2 linked regions of the Astyanax mexicanus genome follow. The protein of the gene in region 2 purifies or fractionates together with the protein of the main gene of each other region. This does not show direct contact. Links are inferred from orthologs where the notes say so. Each region holds a gene or a part of one and is shown on either strand. Other genes may lie near its edges. The genes, in order: sirt7 and mybbp1a.

What was found.
Region 1: the proteins of mybbp1a (region 2) and sirt7 purify together in Homo sapiens (affinity purification with western blotting; 3 studies listed by BioGRID, with this or other methods). This does not show direct contact. The link is inferred for Astyanax mexicanus from reciprocal best matches to the Homo sapiens genes MYBBP1A and SIRT7.

The regions. Positions count from the first base shown.
Region 1 is NC_064423.1:31,805,385-31,821,633, forward strand, and holds sirt7 (NAD-dependent protein deacetylase sirtuin-7), read right to left. Parts: upstream 6,076-16,249; 5' UTR 6,070-6,075; coding exon 5,965-6,069; intron 5,568-5,964; coding exon 5,430-5,567; intron 4,675-5,429; coding exon 4,570-4,674; intron 4,475-4,569; coding exon 4,404-4,474; intron 4,295-4,403; coding exon 4,222-4,294; intron 3,939-4,221; coding exon 3,840-3,938; intron 3,598-3,839; coding exon 3,361-3,597; intron 3,271-3,360; coding exon 3,190-3,270; intron 2,427-3,189; coding exon 2,320-2,426; intron 2,012-2,319; coding exon 1,804-2,011; 3' UTR 591-1,803; downstream 1-590. Other genes in the region: serine hydrolase RBBP9, read left to right, coding at 1-17; srsf11 (serine/arginine-rich splicing factor 11), read left to right, coding at 7,510-7,631, 9,046-9,179, 12,514-12,623, 13,250-13,339, 13,443-13,492, 13,577-13,710, 13,817-13,898, 13,990-14,103 and 3 more. UniProt on the Homo sapiens protein: NAD-dependent protein-lysine deacylase that can act both as a deacetylase or deacylase (desuccinylase, depropionylase, deglutarylase and dedecanoylase), depending on the context. Specifically mediates deacetylation of histone H3 at 'Lys-18' (H3K18Ac).
Region 2 is NC_064429.1:11,719,054-11,736,395, reverse strand, and holds the start of mybbp1a (myb-binding protein 1A-like protein), read right to left. Parts: upstream 9,386-17,342; 5' UTR 9,326-9,385; coding exon 9,155-9,325; intron 7,747-9,154; coding exon 7,651-7,746; intron 7,458-7,650; coding exon 7,374-7,457; intron 7,018-7,373; coding exon 6,943-7,017; intron 6,799-6,942; coding exon 6,691-6,798; intron 5,911-6,690; coding exon 5,720-5,910; intron 5,068-5,719; coding exon 4,900-5,067; intron 4,415-4,899; coding exon 4,297-4,414; intron 3,028-4,296; coding exon 2,738-3,027; intron 2,577-2,737; coding exon 2,466-2,576; intron 2,245-2,465; coding exon 2,119-2,244; intron 2,006-2,118; coding exon 1,799-2,005; intron 1-1,798. Other genes in the region: fgf10b (fibroblast growth factor 10b), read right to left, coding at 14,294-14,485, 14,747-14,850. UniProt on the Homo sapiens protein: May activate or repress transcription via interactions with sequence specific DNA-binding proteins. Repression may be mediated at least in part by histone deacetylase activity (HDAC activity).

The sequences.
Region 1 (16,249 bases), on a different chromosome or scaffold from region 2:
TGACAAAAGCTGAATGAGGGGTTGAAAGGGTGGCATTTCCAACAACAATGGTGGTAAGGGGTCTAACAACGAACCTTACATACTGTCTCCTTGTATTCATCAGTTATATTCAGACACAGCCTTCAAGTCTCTTCTAAGGTGGCCCAGGATTACCAGTTTTCCTGGAAACTTGTGTCAGGATGGAAGACAGAGAAGTGAATTCCAGTCTGAGAGAAGTGAGGGACACACCCACAAACCTTAAATCACTCAGTTTATTATTAAATGTTAAGCTTATGATTACAATAACTATAAAGCATTCTGTAAATGTTGGGGCTTTTATTTTATTTTGATAAAGTATTTTCAGATTCATAAACTCAGTAAAATCATATATGCCAGTAGTTAAACACTTTCTTGATAATAATAGCCTTCCAAATATCCTGAAACGTTTTTCTGGTCATGCAAACACCTCAGCTAAAAAAACTAATCTTACTTTCTTACACAACAAGTGGACCAAAAGGAATGCTCCAAAAGAAGTCCATTGAACTGTATTTTGTGAGTCCATTTTTAATTTTATTGACACTGCACACAATGTTTCAAACGTAACAGGAACATTTAAACATTATAGTTGTTTTACTTACAGATAGTCAAGACAAAATATTCATATAAACATTCATGATAAATTAAAATGATTAATAATACAAAACTCAAAACAAATAGTTCTCTTCTGCAGTAAATTGTGCACTTGTGATCTACTGTGACTGGACAGAGGGTCTGACTCTGGTTAGAGTAAACCTGTAGACCATCCTCCATGATTTACTTACACTGTTTTAACTGTTTTCATTATTCCGATTGTGCATTTATAGAAATCTGCACTCTTAAATTACCTTTAAATATGACGAATAACACTGTTGGAGGTAGGTTATGCCTCATCATAAAGAATAATTAAATATTAACCTTAGTTATCTGAGCTAAGATGAACACTTGTGTAATTAATTTAAAATGTAGTTCTCCTTTCTCTAAGAATCATAAATCTCTTCAACAGATGAGATGCAAAAGTCTGTAACAGAAGACATTATGTCCGCGGTGGCTGTTAATGCCTTCTATGATGTTTTCCTGTATTGCATTTTTAGAACCACAAACAGTTGGGGACACAGTTTAGCGCTGTAAACATTGTTTCACTGGAATTCACCATGTTGTGCAGGAATCTCTGTAATACTGAGATCATTTAGCTTCATTTATGGAGTAACGTCTCCAACACTGAGTAGTAGAAATAATAATGTAACGTCAAGTTTTGTTGAAACCTTGTAATTGGCTAATATTAGCTCATTCTGATGAAAGACAAACCTATATGTTAATTCCGTACAGCCATGAACCTCTTCCATGTATTGCTTGGGTTGAATCCCTGAGAGGATTAAATCAAGGTGCAAAAAAACAGCTAATACTGAAAACATTTAGCACTCACACCATCCTTAACCCAAGACTTACTCCTTCAAAGGAACATTTCACCTAGAATTCATAGTCAAATGTGATTCTTAACCCCTTTACACATCATACTATCATTATTAATGGTCTATTTTAGTCCAGCAGTGACACTGAGGTGTTAAAAAACTCCAGCAGCACTGCTGTGTCTGTTTCACTCAACCACCACCATGTCAGTGTCACTGCAGTTTTGAGAATAACCCACCACCTAAACAACAAGCTGCCTGCTTTGTGGTGGTCCCGTGGGGTCCTGACCACTGAGAAAGAGTGTGAAATGAGGATAATAAGGTAAGAATCACATTCAGTAATTATTTGTGTAGAATAGTTCTTTTTAAATACAGTTGTCTACGTTGCTTTCCTTTTCTTCCTTGATTTGCTGCAGCCTCGTCCAAACCACCCACCCTTTATTACATTGTCTTCAGCTTCATTCCCTGAATTTGAATTTGGCTCAGAGTCCTCCAGGGCAGCAGGGGGTGCTAGAATTTTACGAGTGTGACTGTCCTTTTCATGTGGCGTAAGGGGTGTGGCTAAGTGGAAGATAGGGTCCTCTGCTCTGTTATTGGGAGAGATAAAAACATTACATTGCATTTGGCAGACGCTTTTGTCCAAAGTTTAAGGCAAAAAAACATTTTTAGACGGGGCCAAAGGAGGTCAAAGAGAAATAATGGGATAAAGGAGGAAAGGAAGAAAAAAAAAAGAAATGAGTAGTTAGCGTGTTAGAGGTGTTAGGAGAGTAAGTGCTCTTTGAAGAGCTCTGTCTTCAGGAGATTCTTAAACAAACAATGGAGAGCAGTCATTGTGATTGGTCGATGATAAAGCACATAAAACGTATACAGTAATGCAAACAGAGGGCTTCCTTACCTGTTGTATTTTGGGATTTCAGTGCACAATTCTTCCATCAGAAGACGCATCACATCATCACATTTTCCATTTATTTTAAGAGTGGCCAAGTCATCTTTTGGTGTCCACTGAAAAAAGAGATAGATTAAAGCAGCATTAATTAAGATTTTTCTTTTAAAATAAAAGATTGAAAGCAGTAGTGTTCCTAAATGGAGAGATGGCAACATATTATAAAAATGGCATCAGTGTGCTTCTGCTACAATTCTTGCAAAGCCACATACAGCTCTGAAAAAAAATTAAGAGAACACTTCAGTTTCTGAATCAGTCACAGTTTTCATGCATCTTGGCATGTTTTCCTCCACCAGTCTTACACACTGATTTTGGATAATTTTATGCCTCTCCTGGTCAAAAAATAAAAATAAAAATAAAGAAACTCATCATTTTAAGTGGTTTAATTTTTTTCAAGAGCTGTATATTCATGTAAAAACAGAGTGATGACTATGACAGCATTTGCTGGTTATGTGAGCAACCATGGTGTTGCTAAACCTCTCTAAAATTACCAGATTCATTCAAACTTTCGGACTGTCACTTTAAAACAATATTATATAGTGTTTGTATCTAATAATTTATTGCGATGCTCCACTGACTCTGAATGTTGCTAATGGCACCATGTAACTTCAGTGTAGCAGACAAAAAGACAACACTGGTTTAAACTGTGTAGCATGGTGTGTCAATCCTGTTATATTACTCCTTAGTATAGTACTTCCTTAGTCCCTGTGCTTCTTACACTTTCATGACTATACTGTGTGTACTGTGTGGCTACAAGTGTGAATTTGTGAAGTTACACTGCAGGACTGTAGCTGGAGCCAAAAAGTAAGTGTGAGTCATTACCTGTAAGTTGACGATGTACAGCTTTGGTCTTTTAGCTGCTGGCTTCTTCATAGACCACAAGCATGCATACTTCTTCAGGACCTGCCAATGTGCCACATACAAAAATCAGATATTGCCATAATCATAACAGAAAGGTACAGCTAAGGAGAGTCACATGAATCGCTGCATTACCTTCAGACTGGAGCCGAGGCAGAGGATGAGGTCAGCCTGCTCTGCAGCCTCGGCAGCACCTTTCCAGTTGAGGGGTTGTTCCAGGGTGCCTCGCTCTCCAAAGTGCACGATGGTGTCCTTCAGCTCTGCTCCGCAGTGGGGACACCTCCTGCCTGTTCCGTGCCTGTGCAGCGCTGTGCGCTCGGTCACGTCAAACAGTCGAATGATCTCCCGTACTGGAGAACATGAGACACAGACCTGTATGGAATGAATGGGCATGTTTAGGACTGGAGAATAAGAGTGAAGAACATTTTGATTTTGATGGTTTCTGATTGTAAATTAATACATGCCAACAGACTAAAAAAGAATTTTCGGCACACAGCACACATTTGTGCTGTTAGCTTGCTGTGTCAGGAACTCAAGATGATAAATATTTAGATTTTCCTATGCAACTAAAGATATGGTTAAGTTTGACAGCCATAAGAAAGTATGAGGGTCACCTCTATGAACATATTCCCATGTAGCTCAGAAAGGGCGGGTCTGGGAAGGCCACTGCGCAGGTGGAGGCCGTCACAGTTTTGGGAGACCACATGTTGAACCTGCACGTAAACAGAGGTACTTTAGTCTGCATGCAAACACCAAGTACTGGCTGACATTCATGAATACATTGAAAAAATTATTATTAAAATAATAATTATAAAATCTAAGCAACATTTTTTGTCATATTTCCCTAACCACTGCCTCGTCTCTGACACTCTCTATGCTCATGATGGTCCTAATCAAGTCTATTGCTACGTCCAAAATTGCATAATACAGTACTATCACAGACTCATTTTTGGTTCTAAGAGTTACTCCTTGGTCTTTAAATAATAGCATACTGACCATTTTGATTTTGTGTAACATCCGGATGCACATGTGCGTCAGAGTCGGGTCTGCATCACTGAGGTCAGAAGCCCTGTGGAACATAATGTGACACAATGTGACACAATGTGTGGGGGACAATAATTATTTTTTATTTTGTATAAAAACAGAAGAAGTGGAGAAATGCACACTGCATCACTCACATAACAGTCCGTCCCTTCTGCAGCTGGGTCCATACTCCGTTTGGGCCACGGTAATCTGGGATGGATGCGGCCTGTCAAACATGAAACAATGATGGTTAATATTTGAAGCGTTTATTATGCATGCAGTAAAAGAAAGTACATCCTCTGAGGCTGGAGTTGATAGTACCGTGCTGATACCGGCTCCTGTGTAGATGACAGCATGCTGAGCTTGACGCATGGCTTCAGCCAGCTGTTTCACTTTGGTCCTCAATTCGTCCTCATCATCAAACAGCTAAAAGCAGCAGAGCACAAAGGTAATTCATCGAAGTGGCAAAATATTTCCATTTTGTCGAAAACCATTAAAAAAAATTATTATTAATGCTGCTTTGATACACAAATCTAAAACAAAATACAAAAAAAATTATATACAGGTACATATCAATAAAGTAGGGTATCATCAAAAAGGTCATTTATTTCAGTAATTCAGTTTAAAAACTGAAACTATTATAGATTCATTACACACAGAGTGATCTAGAGTATCTTTTTATGTTGATGATTACGACAGATAATAAAAACTGCAAAGTCAGTGTCTCAGAAATTACCCACACTGCCAAAATGACCAATATCTAGTTTAATAATCATAATATCACTGTGCTTGATTGACCAGCGAATTCACCTGAGCTTGAAATCTATGGACTATTGTCAATAGGAAGATGAGGTGGGCTTTCATAACACCTCAATGCCACAGCAGTGCCACAGGCTGAATTAATATTGATAATATTGTACATACTTTTCAGTGTGTCAGCATTTCTGTATTTTTTTTTTCATATAAAATTTTAATTTAAATGTAATTTAAAATACTGACTGACTGGGGTTTTCATTACCTGTAAGCCATAATCATAAACATTAACAGAATTAAATGCTTAAAATAGCTGACTGTGTATAATAACATCTATATAATTTAACTTTTTGAGGAAATTATATTCTAAATGATTAAAATGCACCAGTATAGCAATTTAAAGAACAACCATATAAAACCAAACTCACCTCTTCTTGCTTCCTCTTCAAGGTGTTTCTTCTGACCCATCGCTTGTTTAGCTCTTGGACAGTTTCTTGGTGAGAGTGAAGCAGAGAAATCTCCTCTTCTGTCCGCTCACACTCAGATTTCTTCAGTATTCTGGAAACCTGTACAAAACAGATTAACCAGCAGAGCGTACAATATTTGCAATAAATATTGACTTGACTTATTGTTAATATTTATTATTTGTATTTATTTAATGCCTTATTGCAATAGGTGAGATATAGTTGTCTATAGTTGACTGTGTTTTTTTTTTATTAGTTCATGCTTATTATTGTTTTATATTACTATCTGTCTGTCTGTCTGTCTGTCTACATATACACACATTTTAAAGTTTAGTATAACAGCTGTTATTAATGAAGCTGGGGCATTTAAACACCCCCGACAGACTAGGCTATCTTACCGGCTAGCTAAGTATCTAAGTTACATTACTAGCTAAATTAGCGTTTATTAAACCAGGTGTAAATCTTTTAAGAAGGGAAATAAAGCAGCTGATATATTCACCAGATTAAAGGTCTCTCTCTGAGTCTCTTTCTGAATGATTTTCTCCTTTTCCAGAGCTTTTCTCTCTGCTCGGGAAAGCACAGCACCTTCTGTTTGGGTCTCCATTCTTGTACTAGCTTTCCTGATTCAAAACAGGAGAGACCCTGCGTTTCATAATAAAAGTCCCACTAAAGTCCCATTAGTTTTTTAGGTTTCTCATATAAAAGAGGAAATCAGTTTAATGTTTGTACTAAAAGAAAAAAAATAATCGAATAGATTTGTTTTTATAGATTTAGAAATAACAATAAATAAATAATTAAATAATTAAAAAATAATTAAAATAAAAATAATAATTTGATCAAAATTTATTTTTCACACATAAAATCATAATATTTATACATGATATATGGTACAACTATCACGGAAAAGCCTGATCGCTGTAACAATAACGACAAAAAAAGAAAAATTAAAAATGATATAGATAAATACAACGTACAACATATAAAGATCAAAAGCAAAAATAAATTATTCTGATTATGAAATATAATCAGACTAACAGAGTGACCAACTATGTACAAACTACATAGCTATGTATTATATGAAATATTAAATGTTACAGTTTCTAAACAATAATATAATATTTATAACACAAACGACATACATGAATAGCACTACATATTATGGGCTACATTAAAATGTTTTAATTTACCATGATAAAGAAATGCATGGATTATATTTTTATACTGCCCAAAAGAAGGAACGAGAATATAATTAGAATATCATCGAAAAGTTACTTTATGTCAGTATTTCAGTTCAAAATGTAAATTATATCATATATTATACAGATGTTTTACACACGGAGGGATTTATTTTATGCGTTTATTCATTTTATTGTAAATGATTATGGCTTACCGTCAATGAAAACACAAAAATCTGTGTTTTTTAAAAAAAAAAATCATATTATATGATTTTTTATATATGTGGGCAGTGTGCCAAGTCCTGCTGGAAAATGAAATTCGCATCTCCATAAAACTTGTCAGCAGTGGGACGCTAATAAACGCTTTAAATACTGGTTACTGAAATAAAGTAACTTTTCAATGATATTCTAATTTTTTGAGATGCACTAGTATGCAACACCTAGTCAATATAATTTATTTGTTTGGATTTTTTAACAATTTCAGAAAAGTATTTTATTTAAGATGTTAAGATTTTATTTAAGATGTATTGTGTATGTTATTGTATATATTTCAATTGGCCAATACATTAAAAATAGAATTAAATGTTTTAGACTTTTATTTTGAAAGCCATTGACTTTAGTCAGTTTTCTGCTGGTAGGATCCAGATGAGAAGCGGGGAGCAGTAGCTAGGGAGCCTTTAAATCCGTTAATTAGTTATTAATAGAGAAAGCTGGGTGAATTTGGGCTCTGTGGAGCTGATCTGTAGGTTAAATTCAGGTAAACTCGTATGAGCGGACCGAGCGAGCCGCGGGGAATCGCCTGAATCCTGCTGCTGTTTGTGGGCAGCGCTGATCCGCCAGCGGGCGTTAGTAAACAGCAGGGCCTGATCATGAACAGCAGCACGAACGTGGTTCAGGTCACCAATGTTTCTCCCAGCGCCACATCCGAGCAGATGAGGACCCTGTTTGGGTTCCTGGGGAACATCGAGGAGCTCAAGCTCTTCCCTCCAGAGTGAGTAACTCTAAATACTGCACTGTACCACACTGTACACACAGCGGTGCTTTATATAACACAGCACAACACAACACAGCACAGCACAGCTAACCAGCTGCAGCCTGAGCACTGCAGTGGATATGTCTGAATGGAGCTTCACAGATAATGGTTAGCTAGCCTTTCTAATATATTAATACTACTGTATCTAAAAAAAGGAATATCATTAAAAAAAGTTGCTTTATTTCAGTAATTCAGTTCGAAATGTGAAACTTATATATTATATATCTATCTGTTTTAAGCGTGTATTTCTTTTATTGTTAATGATTATGACCTACAGCCAATGGAAACTCTAAAAGCAGTGTGTGCAGTGTGCCAAGTCCTGCTGAAAAATGAAATCCGCATTTTCATAAAAGTTGTCAGCAGAGGGAAGCATAGAAGACAGTACCCTGTAAGCAAAGAATATTGTATAAACGTTAATATTTGGTTGCATTAACTCTTTTGCATTTATTTTTATCAGCCATAGTTACGAAAATTATGCAAAATATAATATTAATCACTCTTAATCTCTTTTTTTTTTGCTGGAGCAAAAACACTGGCTGTACAACTATCAATCACTGATTTAGGCTAATATTTATTCATTTTAATATCAGATATCTGCATCGGCCTAGAACTCCCACATTTGTGCATCCTCACACAGAATGCAATGTTTTTTTCCCAGGTTTTATACTTTTATTCCACAATTGCCTAAATGCTACATTTTTAACATTTCTGCAGACATATCAACCAAGCACAATATTAAATTATTCAGCCTTTTCACTTATTTAGTAATTTTTAGATGGGTAATTTCTGTTTGCCTGAAGTTTACATGAGGAAAATGTGGTTGTCCAAATAATGAGCTCTTTTACTTCAGTTAAGAAAATAAGGTCTTTATTCCTTGAATCCTTTGGGTCTATAGGCTCACTTATACAGTACTGACCCTAGTGTAATGGACCGTTGATCCATGTATGGCATGAAATGTAGACATATCAAGAGAAATGACTGATAGTGACCTATAGACATAAACAAGTAGAAAGCAGATCCAATCAGAACCTCTGTTTTATAGATGGGGTGGCAGAACCAGTCAGAATCTCTATTTCTGTGTATGACTGAGTAAGAGTTGTAACTCATAGTGTATTTTCTCAGATAGCTAACTTGTGTTCTGCTTTTTTGTTGTTATTTTCCATCTGTCCAAAACACATCAGGTCATAACTTCACGTCATAACGGCAGTTCAGGTAGGACGTGCCTTAGAGAGCCAAGATGGAGCGTTTCTAAAAACACGTACGGGATTCATCAAGGCAATGCAAAGTGTTGAAGCTGGTTTGAGTGGAGAAGGTGTGTGTAAATGTTAGAACTGTCTGTACATCTTGCAAAAGCCTTTATATTTTCTTCCAGTGATTCTCCCTTGCCTGTGACTTCACGTGTCTGTTTTGTAAAGTTCCTCGAATCTGAATCAGTTGGAGTTTCCCAGCATCTGACGAACACGGTCTTCGTGGACAGAGCCCTGATCGTTGTCCCATTCGCTGAAGGTTTGTGCCCGTCTTCAAAACAGCAGAGTATTCTTTCCTGTGTGATGTTTTTTTTTTCATGTACAATCCTTTACAGTCTTGCAGTTTATGTGAGTACACCTGTTTTATATAACTGTAGTTGTACCGGTACAAGGATGACACCTGTAAACATTCCTTAACATGAGTAATACAGGCACAGGTAGTTTCTATTAAACTCTCCATTATTATATACAGCTGTGCAAAAAAAATTAGAGACTACTTCAGTTTATGAACCAGTTTCTCTGATTTTGCTATTTATAGGTATATGTTTGAGTAAAATGAACATTGTTTTTTTATTCTATAAACTATGGACAGCATTTCTCCCAAATTCCATATAAAAATATTGTCATTTAGAGCATTTATTTGCAGAAAATGGCTGAAATAACAAAAAATGCAGAGCTTTCAGATAATGCAAGGAAAACCAGTTCATATTCATAAAGTTCAGAAATCAATATTTGCTGGAATAACCCTGGTTTTAATCACAGTTTTCATGCATCTCCTCCACCAGTCTTACACACTGCTTTTGGATAACTTTACACCACTCCTGGTGCAAAAAATCAAGCAGTACAGCTTGGTTTGATGGCTTGTAATAATCCATCTTCCTCTTGATTATCTTTCAGAGTTTTTCAATTTGGTAAAATCAAAGAAACTCATCATTTTTAAGTGGTCTCTTATTTTTTTTCCTGAGCTGTATTTAAATACCTTATACAGGCTTTAGGGAGCTGCTATGAATATGTGAGAAAATCCCACTAGTTGCGGGAGAAGTGGTATGTCTGTTATTCATCCAGTAAGCACATTTGCTTTACACAAGTTTTGGATAAACTTTTTTTCTGTCATTTGTGTGTGTGTATGTATGTTTGTGTGTGTGTCTGACTTTTTGTAGTGGACAAGGCAATTGCAGAGCCGGCTGGCGACTGACAGGTCCTCTGCTGCCAACAGGGAACTGTAGAAACAAAATAAAGGCCTTCAAGAGCCCACAAGCTGTCCTGCTGTAAACTCTGACTGTTTTTTGTTGTTCTGTTGGACTCTCTGCATTGATATCTCTCTGATATTGATACCTACGACAAATATGCTAATACAAGTCATACAGTATGCATGCAAAATGGATCTTAAAGGAAAAACTTTAATGGACAGGGATTAAGCCTAGGTGTAGACTACATTTTATTTTTAAGCTGAAAATGTCTATTTGAAATGCTGTGTAGTGCAAGACTAGGCTTAATCCCTTTCTAGGAGTCTGGGAAAGTGTTCCATCACTTTTTTGATGTTCAATTGTTGGGCCTGTCACAGTGATTATATTTTTAACTTATTGTAAAATATATGGACATTATCTCAGTCATTTTTGCTGACCTCAATGTTGTGCGTTGAGAGCCACTATGTCAACCTTACTATGATATTTTTTCTACGTTTAAATGTTATATTTATATTTTATTTATTTTTTTACCCTTTCAGTCATTTTACCACTAAGATAAAAGCAAGACATGACTGTTCTAGAGCATTAATCTTTTCCACTTAACTCAAACGAAGACAAAAGCCTGAGAACCTGTGGTTTTAACAGCGTTTTTTCTGTTTTTTTTTTGTTGTTGTGTTTTCCAGTTCTTTTCCCTGGTTCTGCCAGTGCTATAAACCAGACCCAGCTGAAAATGCCACCTAAAAGTTTTGTCCTGCAGCTTTGTCCTGTTCTGTTTCTCAAATCTCTCTCTCTTACTCACTCTCTCGCTTCATCAAAGATAATCAATGTGTGGAGAAAAAACATTAATTGCAGATTTGCTTCGTTGACCTATGGATTCCAGCCATCTACCGAAATGCTATTATCTCTTTACTTTTCTCTTTGGCATTTTGTCAGACTCTGTAGTTGAGATTATGTGGGCTTTTGCTGGCCGGACACTCACTTGTTATTACTCAGTAGGCCATGTGGTAAGGTAACATAGATGCACTATATGGACAAAAGTATTGGGACACCTGCTCATTTATTTATTTATTTATTTATTTTTGCATTTGATGGTGCAAGAAACCATTTCTATTGTCCAGCAAGATATGACTCAAAAGTATGGATATATCATTCAATAGAACACAGTCCCACTGGTTTACAGAACAGTGTTGGGAGGAATTATATCCCTTAAGCCACAGCCTGCAAAAATTCTGGGCGGGTCGCGAACAGCTTGTAAAAAGTTTTGCAGTTTTGATATTTAATCTTATTCTATAAAAGTCGGTTGTGACTTAATAATGTGAGAAAATGTGGGTCCCGAGCTGAGACCAGTTGAGAACCCTTGCTCTAGACAGTTCTATTCAATTGGAGTGCAGCCTATGCTGTGTTCTCTTTACTTTGGAGCTCGGAAACAGTTAAATACTTTGGTGTTTTATGGCAAATCCATTAATTTTCATTACATTTACATAATTTAGCTGATGCTTTTATCCAGAGCCACTTACAAAGTTATTTCTATTACAGAGGTTGGCCAATGTAATGTGAGGAGTCTTTCCCAAGGGCTCTTTTTGGTGTAGCACACTATAGTCACCCAGACCTGGAATTAAACCCCAGTCTCCCACATGGTAGCTCACTGGCAGGTGGTGGTGTTTTCCATTGCACCACACCAACCACATACAAACACATCTCAGATCATCATTATTAGCATTGATCGTGATACAGGTTTATTTTGTAGTTGGTTTAAAGTGATTTAATGAGACACAAATTGACAGAATTGAGACACTGCTTTCTCTCAGCCCTAAATTAGCTGAATGCGTTAATTAGAATGGTGTTCACAAGCTTTTTGGCATATAGTGTAAGCAGTAGAAGCTCCACACGCCAGCAAAAGCCTGCAGTAAAGGACAGGAACTAGGAGCTAGTTTGATTGTCAGTAGTTAGGGTTAGTCATCCCTTTAGAAATGAACTGTGATTTGCTGTTGATCTCCGAATCATGAACTCTTTGTTTTGTCTATTTTTGATGTTTCTGTGTGCTTTATAGCGAAGCAGCCGACGTGAGTCGCTTGTTCATAAAACTGCTAATGAAACATGAGAGCACATCCCACTGGACAGCCGGCTGTGCTTGCTTACAATTGGTTCATGACTTAAAAAATCAAGTTCAGGTGATAACATCTTGGCAGTGTGTTTAGTGACTGTTATTTTCTTCTTTTTTTCTTGTAGTATCATGCAATTATGCTTTTGTAAAGGGACATTATGTCTTAGATAGCCCTGAAAACAAGAAATTATCCAGTGTATATGTGAAGTGTAGACTTGGACTTTGGATGTTTGTGTGATGAGGATATGAAAGTCCTGGCTTTAACTTCTGTTTCCGTCTGTTTTTCCCCCAAAACCCTGCAGGTGTGATTCCTGATGAGTCTAAAGCTCTGTCCCTGCTGGCTCCAGCCAATGCTGTTGCAGGATTGCTGCCAGGGGGTGGGCTTCTCCCCACACCCAATCCAGTGCCATCTGTAAGTATGGGTCATTCCGTGTTGCCTACTGTGCTGTTGAGAATGACTTGTCTAGGTATGTACACTAGTCAGCCATAACATTAGAACCACCTGCAGCTGTATATACAAGATTACAAGACCAAATATCCAACCCTATCACTAGTGATGCCCCAACACCAAGAGGATAAAGACTAGAACAAGCCTCCTCCGAAGTCAGCCACCACATCTTTTCCAACTGCTGCTGATGCAGCATTATCCAGTAGCATCATAGCGCACTCGGAGGAAAGTGCTGCGACTCGGTTCTGATACATCAGCTCACAGATGCCTTGTGCTGAGCGATATCACCCTAGGAGGGGTGAGGGGAAAGAGCACCATCTTCCCAATTAAGAAAGAGCAAGGCCAATTGTGCTCTCTCATGGCTCTGGCAGCTTATGGGCAAGATACAGCAATTTCCCAATCATAGTGGCAGTGTCTTAGTCCAATCTGCCTTATGGAGGTCTGATCCATGTTGTCAAAGTGGTTCAAATCCTCACAATTGCAACTGACTAAAGGACCTGTATTTCACTTCACCTGGCTGTTAGTGGTGATAATATTGTGGCTAATCAGTGTATGTTGGACTTATTGTAATCGTTTCCTGTGTTTTACAGATTGGTGGTGTTCCTCTTGGCAGTCTGGGAGGGCCTGCCATGGATGCCATGGCTGCACTGGGCATGCCTGGACCCAATATGAACCCCCAGGTTTGATAAACAATATATTTCTTATTGCTTCTTTAAAATGCCAACTACTAAATCTTGTTTATTTGCGTAATAAGCAATAATAATCTTTTCATTTTTCCTTCAGTCTTTGTCTGCAGAGCAGTTGATGAAGCTGATGGCATCGATAGATCCCAAGTAAGCCTATGAAGGTCTCTTCGTTCTATTTTTTTTGTCTTTTAGTTGATTCAGTTTTTAATTTTTTTCTTTCTTTCCTCGCAGGTTGAACCCTATGGCTGCTGGTTTAAATCTAAACCCTGGGTTGAAGGCAGATGCATCGAACAAGGAGATCGAGGAGGCCATGAAGAGGGTGAGGGAGGCCCAGTCACTCATCTCAGCTGCCATTGAGCCTGGAAGTAAGGAGTGTCATCCATATCTAAATGAGAGCTAATAATAGCCAATAATAAAACTATAATTGATTACATGAATAATTAATAAATTGATGTATGATCTTTCTTCTAGATAAGAAAGATGACAAAAGAAAGCATTCAAGATCAAGGTCAAGGTCACGAAGGAGGAGATCAAGGTCTCGCTCCAAATACAGGTTTGGAGAAAATCTGTACTGTAGTTCTTCTCCAGCTGTAGTTTATACAGTGTTGCTGTTGTTTAACACAGTGTGTCCTGTTTGGTTGAAGACGCTCCAAGAGCCGCTCCCGGCGGAGGTCCCGCTCCAGGAGCAAGAGGAGGTCAAAGAGCCCCAGAAAGAGGAGATCTCACTCCAAGGACAGAAGCAGACGTTCTAGATCAAGGTAGGTACATTAAGCATGATTATTGAAATAATGCTTTTTTTCCCCACCCTATTATCAATGATGCAGGTTTGAGGAATTTTCAGTAAAATAAACAGCAAAAGTATACTGTATTTTTCACACTATAAGGCGCAATTAAAATCCTTTAATTTTTCCAAAAATCATCAGTACTCCTTACAATCCAGTGCCCGTTATGTATGAATTCTACCAGTCAGGTATTAAGGAGCAGTAAAGCTACTCCGCTGAAGTACAGTGTTCTACAGGAGTTTCAGTTTAGTTCTCCAAAAGTATTAGCATTAGCCGCAAACTGAGTTAAGTGCTAGCTCTTTCGGTGTTCAAAGGTGAGTATTATCGGCCTGTAGCCTTCTGCTAACTCCGACTTGCACTGTTGAAGCAGTATAAGCATTATCCGCTAACTGCGCTAAGCACTAGCTCTATAAAAAACTGTAATAAACCACTAACTAATATCGCCCTGGTTTACTGGAACATTCAGGGTTCCTCAGTGTGGCTCTATCGAGCGGCATTAGCCACTAATCAAGGCAAGCACTAGCAGTTACTTCCTAATGCTAACACTGCTGGACCCAGCCTTAGTTGAAGTCTGGAAATCTAAGGTTACTGTAAATAATTGGAAGCTAACGGTGGCAAATTTGTGTAGATTAACATCCAATCTCGTTTGAATAAAATATATATTTTTTAATTTATATATATTTTTAAGAATTACAGTTTTGTTTACTTAACATACCTTAGCTTTAGAGGTCTCGCCACTGTGTGGTGGTACCTGCTAAATTAGAAGGAAAACATGGCGGCACCCCTGTTCCTTACTAGTATTGCATAATGCACCTTATGTATAAAAATAGACCAGAAAATAGAAGTTTATTGATAGTGCACCTTATAATACTGTGCACCTTTATAGTGTGAAAATACGGTAAATGATAAACAGATGTTACTTTGGTGCACCAGCAGGCGATATTAAACTTTGACTGTTTGGATATAGTGGAAAATAAAACTAGCCAATCACGAATACCTACAACAATCAGCCGCAGCATTAATAGTATCTCTTTGTTTCTACACCTATTCTGCATTTCTGTTCCTCTGATCATACAGAAGGTCTTTGTAAATTATATAAATTATTCTGAGGAATGAGGAAGATTTGTATGCACTTACTAATTGATCTTACTGATTGATCTATTTGGTCTTTGTTTGTTGTTTTTTAGGGATAGAAGGAAGGAGGACAAGGGGAGGAAACGCTCTAAAACCCCGCCGAAAAGCTACAGCAGTGCCAGACGCTCCCGCAGCACCAGCCGGTGGGTTCGCTACTGTTGGCAAAGATTTACTGAGCTCACTGAACTGATCAAGACTAGTCGAGTGTTTCCGTCATCAGTTTAAACCTGCTGACCTCCATTATCCTCTACTCCCAACAGACGCCACAGGAGGAGCCGCAGCATGTCCCGCTCTCCAAAGAAGTCCAGATCTCCCAAAAGGAGGCTCTCCAGAACTCCCTCTCCCAGGAGGTACAGCTCAGACACCAGTGCCCGGTCTTACAGACCTCAGTTCACTTTCTAAACACACACTGAATCTTTTTATCCTTAACATGAACCGTTGTTATGAATAATTTGTTTTAGGCATAAAAAGGAGAAGAAGAAGGATAAGGAGCGGGACAGGGATCGGGAGCGGGACAGGCGAGACGACCGCGACCGAAACCGAGATAAGAGGGAACGTTCCACCAGCAAGAAGAGCAAAGACAAGGAGAAGGAGCGAGACCGCAAGTCTGATGGAGAGAAGAGCGATGTGAAGGTATGGAGGCTCTTCACATCCACCCCTTATCTATTAGTGTAAACATCATTAATCATTAGATATTAGAGGATTTGTTTTAGTCTAAAATGTTGGTGTTTTATTGTGACATCTAGTGGCATAAGGGATCATATACAGAACCTTTAATGGGTTTTGTATTTTATTAGGGCTGCCCAATATTTAGTTTTAAAATAGTCATGTGAAATAGTCACATTTATAGGATTTGCAATGTCCTGGCATATTTTATTAGATGTTGCAAATTTGTGTTTTTATTTTTTTTCCATGACAGAAAACTAGACTGTATGCATTATTAAAACAAAGACATTTTGCTTCATTGACTTTGAATTAAATGTATTAT
Region 2 (17,342 bases):
TACGTATCAGTGTTTTCGTCTAAGGGTGGACTATTGGTTGAAATAGGTGTCAATCACTTTTGTGACGCTGGAAAAAGGCTATGATCTGATTTGATTGGACAGCCCTGAACACCAGCGCGATCCAGCGCTCACGCCATTGGTTCAAAAGACGATCACTCAAGAAAAGTAGTGGATTGTAGACCAATAAAAACCACTGAATCTAGAAGAGGACACCCTTAGCTTTGTATTCACGTACAACTTTACGGAAAATATTCCATTGTGTAGTCGCTGGGAGCTTGAGAATACGACGTTACGGCTGCGCTGAAACTAAACGCATGTTTTTGAGGAGCAGTGAGCAGGCAAATAAAGGACTTTATGGATATTTTACCTGCGGTTCAGTGCTGTATTGTGGATGCTGTGATAGTAAGTGAATTTTCAATAATATAATATGATGTTATTTTATACACTAATATTATTTTATAAGGCTATTTTGTTGGGGAGGCGTGTTTCTCGTGTAAACAATGTGAAAAAACAGGCTGTTTTCAGTTGGCGATTTCTGGCGACTGGTTTCATGTAGATGGCTGTAAATTTGCGTGCAGGTAGTTAAAGTAGTACTAATGAATATGAGTTGGTTAGTTGGTCGGTATGTTTAGAATATTTGACGCTTTTAAGCGTTCTAATTTACATAGTCAGAACGGGCCCGCCGGCGGGCCGCTAGAGGGCGCTTCTGCAGTAAGTTGCAATTCAAATTATTTAACTCTGACTATAAATTGGAATTTTAAGTACCTAAAATTTTAAATGTATGTCATTTTTTTCTCCAAATTAAATACAAAACACCAACTTTTAATGACCACTGAAGTCTTTATTATTAACCTCTTCATTACAAGGATGTCAAGTACTTAGAAAAGCACACTTCTGCTGTTCTGCTGTTTGCTGCAAACATGACACATGGCAAAGCTTCAGCTCCTGGTCTATTTTCATACATTAGGCACACCGGATTATAAGGCGCATTTTATGCAACACTAGTAGCTAGTAGTAGAAACAGGGGTGTCGCCAAGTTTTCATTCTAAATTCTGCAGGTCTGGCAATCAGACAAATTAGAGTCAAAAGTCAAACGAGCGCTGGATGTTAATCTACACAGATTTCTCTCCTACAAAATGTTTATTTGGGTGAGTAAAGCGCTTCTGTTTATTTACAGTAAGCTTAGATTTGCAGAGTTACACTAAAGCTTGAGCATTAGCGGCTAACCGCTAGAGGTTAGCAACTAATGCCACCAGACAGAGCTACACTGAGGAACCTCTGAGTGTTCTGGTAAGCCACGGTGATATTAGCTAGCGGTTCGTCCCATGTATCTTGTTTTAACACAGCAAACGTGAATACAGTGTTATATATTTACATCTGAAAAGCAAAAGAACTAACACCAAGCACGGTTAGCGGTTAATGATAACGCTGCTCCAGCAGTGCTAGCCAGGGCTCGAAGGCCGTTAATACTTCATTCTAAACAGCCAAAAAGTTAGAACTTTGCATGGTTAGCGGCTAATGCTAATACCGCTGAAGAACTAAACTGAAACTCCTGTATAACTCTGTACTTCAGTGGAGTGTCTTTACTGCTCCTTAATACCTGACTGATAGAATTCATACATAAGGAGCACCGGATTATAAGACGCATTGTAAATTTTTTTTGGGAAAAAAAAATATATATATATATATATATATATAAATAAACTTGTTCCTATTTTCTATAATTTATTCTTCTGACTACGACTGGCTCAGATTCTGATGCTGAAAAACTCTTCCTACACTGCCGCCAGGTTCTTACCTCTCCCAGGCCTCTGTGTGCTCCTCAGTGAAGGTGTGAACGCTCTGTACGTATTTGTTCTGTTTCAGCAGCATGTCTGCGTACTCCACCAGGCGATACACCCACATAGATCCATCGGTCATCACGCCCAGCGTCCGGCGCTTATCCAGAGCTCCAGCTTCAGCAGAGCCCTCCAGAACAGGCAGAACGTTCAGATGCTGCAGCAGACTGAGGCACAGAGATCAGAGAGAATCAGTGAGAGGCTTATGAATACATGATAAACAAATTTAACACACTCAGTCCAGGTTGAGGAACAGGGGAGAGAAAACAGAAAACAGTACCTAATGAAGGAGTTGCTGATGACGGTGCGTGTGTTTTGGTCGATTGGCTCCGAGAGAGAGCGCTTTGTCTCTGGTATCGACGCTGTGGCCTTTTTAGTGTTGAAAAAAGCATGGAAGAAGATGAACCTGGAGGACAGAGACAACACACGTCAGAATTAAAGATCAAAAAGCAAAAATAAAGGCATACATGTCATTAGAAAGTGTGTGCGTGCATGTTTAGACTTTTTTCCCCCCATTTCTTTTCTTTAATTACAAAATCTAAAAGAGTAAAGATCAGGGTCCAGTGGAAACAATGGTGTATCTTCATTTGTGTGAATGGACTAATGTGTGTGTGTGTGTGTGTTTACCTGGCAATGCTCATAACAAGCTCCTCGTCTTTTTTAATCTGTTGGTTGTCCACGATGGAGGTGAGTCTGGGAATGATCCATTTCCGGAAACGAAACACACTTGATTGAGGCCTGATGAGGAAAACAAGGAAAAAAAAAAAAAAAAACACTCTGAGCATTGCTTTTATTAAACAATTAAAAAGCAATTTAACATTTATTTTTTGCAGGAGGTTTATTCTGAAATCATGTGATACTATCTTAGGCCCATACTGCTCACCCCAATAAAAACTTACTTGACAGCGGTCTCCTGACCCTCCCTCTGTTTGCGGGTGCTGAACTCCAGGCATTTGTCCAGCTGTGGTCTGCAGAACGCCTCCTTCAGCCACTCTACATACGTCTTCAAAGCTGTGGGATTCATGTGCTCCAGAACCTTCCAGAAGGATGGCACGACAGGGTAGCCCTGGTTTGTGAGTTGGGTGAAGGCCAGGACCACAGTCAGCTGCTTCTCCGGCTCTTTGCAGCTCTGCATGAAGGAGTTCACCAACACGTCCATCTCCGGGGAGAACTTAAACCGGTCAGGCAGCTTTAAGAGCACAGACAGACAAGAAACAAAAGAGGAGAAAATGAGACTTAATTACCTATATAATTAATATGTAAATAGCATTACATCAACTAGAATTAGCACTCTTCTTTATGGTGCTGTAATCCAAAAGAAAACAATGTCCAAATGTGAAATATGTTAGAAACCATTTAATCCTACCCTTCTGTTTTGCTCATTTACATGTATAGACAGGATGACCGTTCACATTCATGTCACATATCCATGGATCGGTTATGTATTCCATTTAGGACCACATAGTGATTCGAATATGATTAGAAAAAAAAGTCAGATTTGGCATGATTTTGGCACACAACCGTGAAAAAAATCTGAGATCTGAGCCGCAGTGAGCAAAAAAATCAGATTTTTTTTGTGAATTTCACTCTGCCAGTGGGAAATCACAAGCTAAAAATATCAATCTTACCCAGTGCTCCTTTAACACATACTCTTGTTCAGTGCCAGATTAACACTTTCTGAGGCCCGGGGCTAATTACCAGGATGAGGCCCTTCATATCATGTTCTGATGCATGACCTCACACAAACACACGGACACATCAGCGACAGCGTACACAGTACCAATCTATAACAGACTGCCGTTTAAAGTGAACTGGTAACATGATTTCAATTCAATTTAGGGTTGGGCGATGTCTCTTTAATTGGCAGATGACGATGTTTACAGGGAAACATCGCGATGGACGATGATATCGTGTGGGGTGTGGGTTGATTAGAAATAACTAAAAACTGACATTTACTATAGACCAATAAAATATATACGCAAAAAAGGAAAAATAGGACACTTTAAAAAGATCATTAAAATGGATACATAAAAAACAAAGAATGTATAAAAAAAAAATAATTTAATCAATAAAATAAAAATATTTTCAAATGAATAAAACAATAATTAATATAAAATAAAAACTCATTTAAAACACAATCAAAGGCTTTTTGGTAGTGCGCAGGATAATAAGAGTGAGAGAGCGAGAGAGAGTCAGCACATCTTTGCTGGTGGTAGCTGCTACAGCAGGCTGACTACTCCACGTTGGTTAATTTGGGTGTTTTCTGTAATAATTCTGTCGCTCTTTACTTTTTTATTGCTTGTAATTTTCGTTTTTTTTATTAATTTTGTAATTTGACATTCAGCGACCCGAGGCCCGGGACTGCAGCCCTTTCAGCCAATTCTTTTAATCCGGCCCTGCTCTTGTTTAAGAGAAAACCTAAAAATTTTAAAAGTACAGCAGATATTGTCTGACTCACCTGAGCAGAGAGCACATGCTCCCCATAGCGTCTCATCACTTCTCCAGACAGAACAAATTTCAGCTGGGACACAGAAAGCATCGGCAGAGCCGCACCGAACAGCCTGAACACCAGATAACTAAAAAAAAAAACAGGGGAAAAAAACAAGGAAAACAGGAGAATCAGAGACTGAATAATACTATTAATACTATTGACATATACAAGATTTTTATTATTATATTATTATATTATATACATATATATATTTTATATATCTTTATACTGACAAATTTAACATTTAACATCTAAACATATTACACATATACCAGCTGCTCATTATTAGTACAAAAAAATAAACAAACAATAATTATTTAATATTTCAGTTAGGGGTGTGCCATGTCATTCCATACGCAATATTAAAATTTTATTTACAATTTGTTGCAGTAGTGTTTTCTTGAAATAATCTTTTTAATTCAGTGTTTTGTCATATCACCAAGAGTATCATTACTGCAATAATACCATGAAGTATCGTAAACAATGTTGTAATATTTTAGGGCCATATCGCCCACCCCTATTTTATATTTATTCTTTAGATGTAGACGTCCTATACGGGTGAGTACTCACTGGCAGGGGCCTGCAGGGTCTAACAGTAATCCGCTGATTACGGCCTCCTTCCAGAAGAGCTCAAAGCTGTCCTCCCTCAGAGACATCTGCAGCAGGTCCAGAGCCACCGTCGGCAACACGTTCTCCTTCTTCACCGAGCGAGCGGCCGTCTTCAACACCTGAACCAACCTATCAGAACACAGGCAGGGTCACAAAGGATGAGTGAATAAGTGAATAAGTGAATAAGTGCAACACATCATGACAACTTCTTTTAAAGTACAGATTAAATCAATAAACATAGAAGACCTGTGTGTATGAAACTGTCAATGAAGTAGTATGTGTTTGCTGATGATTGAGTACATGCTATACAGTGTGTGTGTGTGTGTGTGTGTATAGACCCTGCAGGTCCCTGCCAGTGAGTACTCATCCGTATAGGACGTCTACAACTAGAGATTAAATATAAAATAGGGGTGGGCGATATGGCCCTAAAATATTACAATATTTTTTTATGATACTTCATGGTATTATTGCAGTAATGATATTCTTGGTGATAAGACAAAACTCTGAATTAAAACGATTTCAAGAATATACTCTACTGCAACAAATTATAAATAAAATGTTGATATTGCGTATGGTGTTATGGCACACCCCTAACTGAAATATTAAATAATTATTGATTGTTAGTTTTTCTTGTACTAATAATGAGCAGCCAGTATATGTGTAATATGTTTAGATGCTACATTTGTCAGTATCAAGATATAAAAAATATATATATATAATATAATAATATAATAATAAAAAACCTTGTATACGTGTGTGTGTGTGTGTGTGTGTGTCTCACCGTGGCAGGGTGTTTTTGTTGATGACGCTTGCAGTCCCCACCAGTTTCTTCAGTTTGGCCGGTTTGATGACTGAGGGAAACTTTTGCATGGCCACCAGGAGGAGCTCCAACTGTTCTGGGCTGCTGAGGGCAGAGGTCAAATCAGTCTGCAGTGCTTTAAACAGCACCTCCTCAAACACCTCCTCTGAAGTCTGAAACACAACACAACACAAACGCAGCTCAGAACAACAGCACGTATTACCAACTGGTGGAAATTAAAAATACTAAGGATGTGCCAATCCCATTTTCTGACCCAGAGAGATATTGATTTTTAAATGATTATTCAAACATTCAAACATACAATTTTATCACAAAAAAGTGTTTGCCCTTTATTGTAATAGCTTGTGCTTCTTAAAAGACAATAATTGCTTACAAAATATGTGTAAAAAAAAAAAAAAAAAAAAAAAAAAAAAAACTTCAATAATTTTTTTTGTAAAAAAAATTACCAGTGCAAATATCAAGTGCATGTATGTGTATGCAATGTGGCCTACCAAATGTAAAGCTTTTAATAATAGGTATTTTAATGTAAATGAAAGAATTAGTATTAGATTATAACTAGAATTAAATTAAATAATAACTATATAAGTGCTGCCAGTCAGTTAAAAATTAATTGTGTGTATCTGTGTAAACAGTTTGGAGGGGAAAAAAAAGCGTGGATGAAAGTAGCGGATGGCTCTGAATACAGCAGCATGCTTGCAGTGTGGGATTTTTTCTCCCTTAAACTATCAGTTTCCATAACCTAGGTATAAGCATATGAATAACACTCTTAATAAATTAGCACAAACTGTATTCTTTGTGTGAACGCTTTTGTGTGTATATATACATATATATATATATACACATCCAGATGAAGGCACAGAGTAGCATAACAATCTAATTTATCAAACGTGCATCAGCAGCATCACAGGCGAAAAGGCCGATCTTCAGCTAACCTCACTCAGAATGTCCACCATGGTCTTCCTGGGTAGTTCTCTCAGGTGTTCTCTGTACTGAGACAGAGTCTGGAGCAGCTTAATACACTCCAGCAGTACCTGCGGCTCCTGGAGAAATGACAGACATCAGACAACTTGACTGTGTGAAAACATTCAGTAATTCTGTGTTTTTAAAATGATTAACAAATAAATTCTACAAATAAATAAAAACAGAGTAATGTAATTACAACGTAATGAGTACGAGGAGCTTACCTTGTGCAACCGTGTGGACTGAGACAGCGCGAGCACGCCAAAAAAATTCCCAAACGCCACATTTCTGATTTGTTTCTATAAAAAGAGAGAAAGAAAGAGTGAGAAAGAAAATCCAGAAGATTTAGAAACACCAATAATCATTAATAGAGATGCATAAATACTAATACTGGCATAAGATAATCCGATACCACGCTTATTTACTCATAATCGCACAGATAAAAATTGCACATAAACAATTTTTATAAATATATGAGTTAGAAAATGAACGAGAAAATTAGAGAGAGTAAGAGAGAGAGAGAGAGAGAGAAAGAGAGAGATAGAGAGAAAGAGAGAAATAAGGAGTGAGTGGTGGAGACAGTCCCAACTTCAAAGCCCAGCAGTTCAGCAAAAGCAATTTGTCTCTTTAAATAAAAATCTAGTGTTTTTCCTACCTTATTGGCTGTTTGTAGATCATGTTTTTCTTTGATCTGATCAAGTGTGCTTTTAAGTGGAAGTTCATCAAACACACTGAGCACCTGCAGAAACACAAATCACACACCTGAGTTCTCCTACAGAACTGTACTGGAACTTTTCAGTACATCCAGCAGTTAATACAGGAACCAAACTGTTTTGAAGATTCTGTGTTTCTCCAGAAACGCAAACCCAGAAGAGGTATTTATATATTTATATTTTTTAAAAATCGTCTAATACAGGCTATTTTTTTTTTACCTGTGCCAGTGTGGCGCTGTAGCCAGTGCGAGCATGCTCTCGTGCATGAGACAGTCCATTCACCAGCCTCTTCACCACATACTGTAACTCATCCGACTGAAAAACACAACAAAAAATAAAATAAAGAACACAATACAAAACAAAAGCAATGATGTTTCAGGTAATAATTAGAATGCCACATTAACATTAAACAAACTAAGCAGGTCTCACTCACATTGGGTGCAAATAGTCTACAAATTCAACACACAGCACAGCGAAATATTACTTGATCAATCAGGAGAAATTGAGGACAGTAATGAAGTATAATTATTATTGTTCTTAAGTAAACTTTTGTGTATCTGTACTTTACTAACATATCCATGTTAGGTGATTTTTTTTTTTACTTTAACACTATTACTTCAAACTCAAATATATTACTATTTACTATCCACTACTTTGTCAGTCATTTTGGCTTGTTTGGGTATATAAAAAAGTACATTACATTATATCAAATTTATCAGATGCTTTTAGAGTATTGTATCATAAAAGAAGCACCAAGCAAGCCCACCATTCAGGGCACGTCACTTGAATCGGGGTACAGCGTATTCTTAGTTTTTACCTGGTTCTGACTTGTTGGACAAACAGCAGCTGCCCAATGCAGCAGTGAAAAATTGTGGGTGTGCCTATACTGCATAAATAATGAATATATGGAACATATAGATACAGCAATCTTTTTTAAAATCATAACTTAAGCTCATAACTTGTAAGTTACATATAAACCTTAAACCAAAATGTGCTTGTTAGTAAAAAAAAGATATTTACAATAACTTGGTTCAAACTAATGAAAACTGTTCTCGTTTAGTGTTTTGTGCTTGTGGCCTTTTTAACAGGCATCAATATGACATTTACGACATTCTATCAAAAGACTGGTGACGTTAGAGCGACATTAAAAAAGTTTCAGCTAAAACGAGCTGATTAATCAATAAGAGACTAGTAATCATAAAAATTATAACAGAATATTATAGCAAAAATAAATGATGGTATCGCTACTTTCAGAAGCAAAGCATATTTGAATTAAACTATTTCTGAATTTCTACACTTGTTAAAGTTTAAAGGGGGGCTTTACCTGTAGTATAAATACTTAACCTCGAGCACATGGTTTGTGTACTTAGTCCACCACTGCTCATCAGATTACCACAAGGTTTAAGAAAGAAAACTGAGATACAGGGAATACAGGGTGTAAAAGGCACTCCAGAAGGAAGATTAAGGTCAACAATATTATTTTGAGTGTCCACCTACAACAATTTGGACAAGAATAATCTCAGATTGCCAGCCAGCTTCTTATTCCACCAGCCTTCAATCCACCTTAAACAGTCCAGAAGTATCTGTAAGTGATCTGATGACAACAGTTGAGTAGCTAACCTAACTAACCGAACATTTAAGGTGGAACGGGCACTGATCCTGGTACTAAGCTGCTGTGATGGTTCTGAAAAGTTCTGAGGTCCAGTTCAGTGAGTGTACTAACCTCTCCACTCTTCTTCAGCTGTTCCACCAGTTTCTCGGCAGCCTGAAGTCGCGCTTCTCTCTCGGGTTTGGCGATTTCCCAGAACAGGTCCAGCAGCTCCCGGCTCCGCTTCAGAACACCGTCCGGATCAGCCACAGCGGGCCGAACCGGGCCGCTATCAGGGTCCACCATGCTCGCCTTCACTAAACTCGTGTAGAGAAAAACACGAGAGGGAAACACGTGCAGAGAGAACGGGGGAACCTCCGGTTTGACTTTCAACCATTTCAAAATAAGAGTCCCTCAAACTGTAGCATTAACTTTCACTAACATTTAAAGGTTTATTTATTTTAATTAACTTTTTTGGAGAAATTACTTAACAGTGCGCATGTAGTTTAACACTCTATGGTATAATGTTGCCCTCAGGCAACAAACCATCTTTTGCTTATTACACCATTCCATACTAAAATGTATTTGTTTATTAATTTAGTTCGTTTTAGTATACTGTACAAGGCATATCTACGTCCAATACAAAGAGACATATAAATGGTTAAAATAAAAAAAATGTAAGTTATATGTGCAAGAAAATAATATGTTAATATTATTTGAATATAATTAGAATTAGTCTCATTATAATTTATTTCATTTTCCCATTTGGGTATCGTTATTTAGATCACTTGTGTTAGGGCTATCAAGACAAATCTTTGATATAGTAATGAGATTATTGTTATTAAGGAGTTATTTACATTAATGTGAATGTGAGTCTGTATTCCAGTTACAAAAAATCCAAAAATGAAATCTTAGTTTCCTTTGTCATTTTTGTAAAAAAAAACAACTAAAAAACAAAGCATTCATTGAGGATATATGACCAGTATTTGACCAATGTCTGAATATTCTACATGTTTTTTAGTGTTTATTATTATTATTATTATTATTATTATTATTATTATTATTATTATTATTATTATTTATAATTTTATATATGTATGTATATATTTAGCAGTTAAATTTTAATGTTATGATTATTTTCTTGACTTTTTTCTTAGTTATTTGATTCAATTTAATCATTTTTAAAATTTAATGTTAGTTGTCTCTGTAATCTTTGTAAAAAAGAAAAGAAAAAAACATTTATTGAGAATATATGACCCATTTTTGTCCTATGTCTGAATATTCTACGTGTTTAGTTGTTTTTGGTTGTTATATGTTTTTTATTAATAATATTATTATTATTATTTATCATAGTATATATGTTTGTATATATTTAGTAGTTTAGTTTCAGTTTTCATGCTTATTGGGGTTTTCTTGTTTTTTTTCTTACTATTTGATTCAATTTGATCATTTAAATATATTTTATTTTACCATTAATATGGTTTTTTTATGAATCATCAGAAACTTTATAGTTAATCTGTTTTTGAAATGTTTTTTTTTTCATTTTTCATTTGTTTCTTTATCATAATTTTTCCCCTATGTCCCCAATATTTTAATATAATGATAACAAAAGAAAATCACTACCTTTTTAAAAGGGTGTAGCATCCATTAGCATCATGCTATTTTATTGTCATCATATTATTAGCATTAAATTGTGTTAAAATACTATTAAAGTAAAATAATATTGTTTATTGCAGTTAATTTGTGGTGCAGTCTCATCTCCGTTAGTGTCAGTGTTGTTTATAAGGCCTGTTTTTTGCTCTTTTCTCTTTTACAGCAGGTTTGTTGTGAGAAATGTTGAGAAACTCTGTAATCTGGGGTAGTTTTGCCCCTCATTAACCCTGATTTCAGCTTTTTCCACTGTATCCGCGGAGCTGTTGGTAAATCTGCAGATAGCGCGCAGTTATTAGCGAGTTTTCCGCTTGTGTGTGTTCCTGTAAAAATGCGGGTGTAATGGAAATAAAGAGGAATGTTTCGGTTAAAAGAGAGAGATTTGAGTTAATAAGGAAAGAAAGCGTAGTGGAAAATATCTCTGTGTGCGTGTGTGGTCCTAATTCTAAGGTTACATTTAGCTTTTTACACGAATTATCCGTTCCACCTTAAATGGTGCTACAGTTACATTCTACATTCTACAAAAGCCAGCAAAAAACTTTTTTTTGTGTTAATCACAATAAAATCTTATGTTTAGAAATATATATGTGTGTTTATTTATGTATTTATTTGTCTGTATCACCTGTTTTATTTTTTTCCTTTGCAAATTGTAATACTTATTTTTTTTAAATCTTATAAGTAATGTTATTATTATTAACCAACTCTCATTTTTAATCCTATTTTTGTTGTGTTTGCTACGTTTATAAGAACTGTTATGTTTTTCTGTTTATATTTTCTTATTATTTTATACACTAACATATCTTAATTATCTGTTTAGAAATATGTTTATTTATTTATTTTGTCTGTTAATTGTTTTAGTTTTATTCCTCTTCAAATTGTAATAGTTACATTTTGTTTAATCTTATTTTGTAGTGTTATTAATATAGTACGGTTAGTACTGTTATAATTTTCTTATTATTTTATACACTTATTTGATTATATTTTTATGTTTATATTTTAGCATTTTTCTTTTTTTTATTCTTCCTGAATATTTTTTTTAGTTTCATATTTTTCTTAAAAGTTTTTTAGTATTTTTATACACTAAGTATATTTAATACTTTAGTTATATATTTTTAGTAATTTTTATGTTTACATTTTAGCTTTTTTCTTTTTTTTTATTTTTTTGTTTATATTTAACTTTTCTATATCTTAGATTAATTTTTATATGATCATTTTAAATTAGTTCTGCTAAATTTTCAACTTTTTTAATCCATTTTTTTCTCTGTTGTTTTAAGCTATTGATTGTAAAGGCTCAGGTACATTGAATATAAAATGAGAGTAACAGTTTTAAGGTTTATTGATTCATTAATCAATTGATTTATTGATTATTACACCTTGAGATGTATAGCTAATCACACACAGTAACTGGTGATGAGTGAACAGATGTACTCAGACTCTGTACAAGAGTGAGAAAATAGCTTTTATTTGATATAAAGTACAGAAAGCTGCTTTTATTACATACACTTCATTCATTTTGCTCTTAAATAGTATACAAATAAATAATATATCAGAAAGCAGTCAAGAGCTGTGTTTACAAACGCCTCTAATGACCCTCGGGTCGTCAGGTGACCGGTTCCATTCTCCTGTTTCACAGTCTAGTAAAACGATCCAGGTCCAGGACCCAGTTCCACATCCCGGGTCCAGATACATTTACAGGGTCCAGTCATATGCTCCGACTCAAGAATCCGGTTCCAGGATTAATTTTCACGCTCTGGTTCCATTATATAGTTCCATACTCCAAGTCCAGGAACAAAAACCATGCTCTTGTTCTAGGATCCAGTTCTATTCTGTGGTTCTAGGATCCAGTTCTATTCTGTGGTTCTAGGATCCAGTTCTATTCTGTGGTTCTAGGATCCAGTTTTATGCTTTCAAGTAATAAACTTGATCTGGATCCAGTAAAATACTCCGATTCTAGGATCCAGTTTTGAGATCCAGTTCCATCCACGCTCTGGATCCATGATCCACTTCCATAATACACTTTCAGCATCAAGTTCCATGTTTTCACTCCAGTTCCAGGTACCTGTTCCACGTTCTGGTTCCATAAACTGTTTATAGATCCAGTAATGTGTCCTGATTTAGCTTCAGAAACCAGTTCCAAGATCCAATCCGCTGCCCTGAATACATGATCCAGTTCCATAATCCACTTTCTAGATCAAGCTCCAAGTTCCCGATCCAGCATCCTGCTCCATGCATAATTTCCACGACACAGTTCCGTGATTTGGGTCCAGAATACAGTAAATTATGCTGATTCCAGGTTTAGTGAGTTAATCTCAGTCTCAGTATTACAGTAATAACTAAAAACTGATCTGGATTCAGAGCCTCCAGCGTCCTGTGGAGATTCCTCTCCTCCATCTGTCAGTACGGTTCTCACGTGTTCTGAAACCATATACTGACCTCTATAGTTTCACAGGTTTCACAGTACATTAAAGCGACAGGTCAGAAAACCTGTGTACACAACTGTATTATGGGATATAGTACAAATCAGAGTACAGATTATAGTACAGACTATTTGACAGACTTGTACAGACAGTAGTGCAAACTGTAGTAGAGTAGTACAGATTTTAGCGTGAAGTTTAGTACAGAACGTAGAACAGACTATAGCACAGAAGAGAACTGAGTGTAGTACAGACTGTAGTGCAGTCTACAATATTGATTGCAGCGCACACTTAAAGCACAGACTGTAGTAAATTAGAGTACAGAAGAGTACAGATTGTAGCACAGATTAATACAGACTGTAGCACAGACCAGTACAGACTGTAGCACAGACTAGTACAGTCTGTTGTACAGACTATAGCACAGAGTGTAGCACAGACTAATACAGACTATAGCACAGACTGTAGCACAGACTATAGCACAGAAGAGTACAGATTGTAGCACAGACTAGTACAGACTATAGCACAGACTGTTGTACAGACTATAGCACAGAATGTAGCACAGACTAATCCAGACTTTACCACAGATGATAGCACAGACTGTGGCACAGACTGTAGCACAACCTATAGCACAGAAGAGTACATACTGTAGTACAGACTGTAGCACAACCTATAGAACAGAAGAGTACAGACTCTAGTGCAGACTGTAGCACAGACTAATACAGATTGTAGCACAGAGTACAGACTCTAGTACAGACTAGCACAGACTAATACAGACTGTATTAGTCTCTAGTACAGACCCAATACAGACTAGTACAGACTCTAGTATAGACTGTAGCACAGGTACACAGTTCAGGCTCTAAGATGGGCACTGCTGTTTGTTTCTGTAACAGGTATAGAGTATATTTAGGAGTTGAGCTGGGTGGTAATTTGTGTATATTTGTTTTTTTTTTGCCAGACTTTTCCTTTAAGCCCCCGAGTCTGAACAGCCTCTCGTTCTTGTCCAACTCTTTAAACTGATTTGGCAAAGTTGTGGTACTATGTGCCATTATTATATCCAAAAGAAGAATCAGGATCACACACAGGGAGCAGTGTTATCAGGTGGGTCCGGCTGCAGCAGCAGGAGGAACTGGAGGAGCTGTGTACAGATCTCAGCTCTGTAGTGTCTCGTCCTCATCGTGTCTCTGGTGCCGGTGTGTCTCGGTGTGTCCGCTCAGACGAGGATGGGCAGGAAGTGCGTGGCCGTGTTCTTCCTGCGTGTTTTCCTGCCCCTCATCGGGCGGCCGTTAGCGCTCAAACCCACAAACATGGCTCTCCTCCGGTTCCTCCACTGCGCTGATGAGTAGGTGTTGTAGCCGTTCTCCTCAATACGCTCCTTCAGCCTGCAGTTCACACCATACTCTCTCTGGAACACACACACACACACATACTGTGAGTATACTACCAACAAACTAATTAGCACAGATAAATACTATATATGCCCACATGTTTGTGAAGATAGAGCCGATAGATCAGATACAGCAGTGATTAGCAGTGATTAGCATGGTGGTGGTGCATGAGGTGTTAGTGTGTGTTGTGCTGGTACAGTAAGTGTATCCAATACAGCAGTGCTGTTGGAGTGTGTGTGTGTGTGTGTGTGTGTGTGTGTGTGTGTGATGACACTCACCTCTCCATACACTTCTCCTTTCTTACTGATGGCCAGATAATAGTTGCTGCTGAGCCCCCGGATGGCTACAACCCCCACATCCACAGACGTAATCTCCAGAATGCCTGCAACACACACACACACACATGCGCGCACACACACACACACACACACACATTAGTCCAGTCTCAGTCTGTTTCAACACATTTCAGCTTTAAACAGTCATCTGACGAGAGCTAACAGTAGGGGCTATTAGCAGACAGTGTGTGTGTGTGTGTGTGTGTGTGTGTGTGTGTGTGTCTGTAAGGGTATTAGTGTCACTCTTTGGCATGACCTTTGATCTCCAGAACACATCAGTCAGGTTGTAGTTCACACACACACACACACACACACACTCACACATGCAGTGTAGTGTGTGTGAGGCTTTGTTATCTCTTTGTGTGATAACCTCAGTGTGTGTGTGGCGTGTGTGAATATGAGGGGTTTGTCCTTTGATCACACAGACACATGCACACACACCCACACACACACACCCACACACACACACTATGGATAATTAGATTCTAGTACTGGAGAACTAAAGCTGTTGATTCACCTTGTTCAGATCAGTTCATTCACACACTCCTACCAGAACACAGAGAGGGGGCCATCACACAACTGGTCAGCATTCTGTGTGTGTGTGTGTGTGTAGAGAGGGCGTGCTGGGTTGCAGGTATCAGATGAAGCAGTAAAACTATCTGTTTCTCAGTAAACAGTGGCAGGATGAAAGGATGAGGAACAGAAGAATGGCAGGATGACAGAAAGACAGATTAGAGCAACATCAGTGAGTCATGATCAAAGAGAGAGAGAGAGAGAGAGAGAGAAAGAGAGAGATGAATGAAGGACTCTCACACTACACAGACACACACCACAGTGATTGACACAACAATTTATATTTATACATTATTAATAATATGTCCCATATGTATTATATATATACTACAGGTGGACCGAATACTTGGCAACCAAATTTGTTTGACTGAAAATGGCAAAATAATTTATATTGAAAATTGACTCATTTATTTTAAGTCACATTGCAGAGTTTTCTCTGATATTAGGACTTTTTTTCAGTAGCCGCTCATATCAAAGCGCCAGGTTACATTTTTTTACTCTCTACCCACAATAATTAAAGTAAATAAAGCACTCAGCTTACACACTTAACACACTCACTATCAGTTTACTCAGTTTACTACGTCTTCACAAACTGGCTGCTTCCAGTTGAAAGATACGAGCTGTACAGGACTAGTATAGTAGCGTTAGTAGCGTAAATTTCACTTACATGTGACTTGAGCAGCACTGCTGAGGTAAATTCGTGATTAGAATGGGACTGCTGAGGTACATATATAGCCAAAATAGCACTGCTTAGGTAAACAGCATCACTGAGGTAAATTTATGACACACTGATTGAATTAATGAAATAAGCGATTAGAATAGTGCTGCTGTGGTAAATGTATTGTGCTTTGTTGGTTTGTCTTCTGGGTTTTTAATAATGTTCAGTGCTCAATAAATATTTTAAAACAGATTTGTAGTTTTTAAAAAAATTGTTTCATCTTTAAACACTCAACAGAGCGAGAGTTAATGCTAGGGGCTGTTAGCAGACAAGGTGTGTGTGTGTGTGTGTGTTAATTATATTAGATCAGTAGAATGTACAAAGACAACCATGCACTTACTTTTAAGATCAACGCAGTGATTTTGGGATTTGAGCTTACACGCATTTTTGACAACACATAAAGCCATATGGACCATAATCCACACCCCACATTCACACACACACACTCTGAAAAGCACATGTCTGCTCTCAGGTAGTGGCTTTGAAGTCGTTTTTTCACTGCAGAACTAAAATAACCACAAACTGTACAGAGAAAACAGTGAGTTACTGTAAATCCCTGCATTATACTGCTCTGAATACAGGGCGAGAGACACTCTGACACACACTGAAGGAGAGAGAGAGAGAGAGAGAGAGAGACTGTAAAAAGCTGCATGTTTTTTTTGTGAGGCAGAATTCCCGAAATATTTAAATGTGCTCTGATTGTTGGGCAAATTAACATTTTTCCCTAACTTGCTGTCCAGTGTGTGTGTGTGTGTGTCTCACCATGCTCTGTTTGCTGTGAGTAAATGTCGCGTGCAACAAACTCACACTTCGTCTGCTGGTGTGTGTGTATGCGTGTGTGTGTGTTTGTATGATTGTTTTTTCCATAAAGTGCTGCCAACACTTTACCACGTTTTATAGCTGAGATGATGCTTTTCTAGTGAAAAACAAAAGCAGTGGTCGTAGTTTATGGAGCAGAATGATGAGTTTCTCTGGGTTTAGATGTGTCAGGATAAACCAGAAAAACAGTTATCTCACCCTGTTCACTTAAACAACACACATTCTGCTCTGGTGGTCTTTCACGATGATTTTTATCCAACTTACTACAACACAACAACAAGCCCTTTACATCCACCCTAAATCTTCTACACCCGGCATTTAGCCCCTTGCTGTATATCCACATTTAAACCTCTACACCCAGCCTACAGGCCTTTATATGCACCCTAAACCCTCTATACCCAGCCTACATAACCGTATATCCTCCTTAAA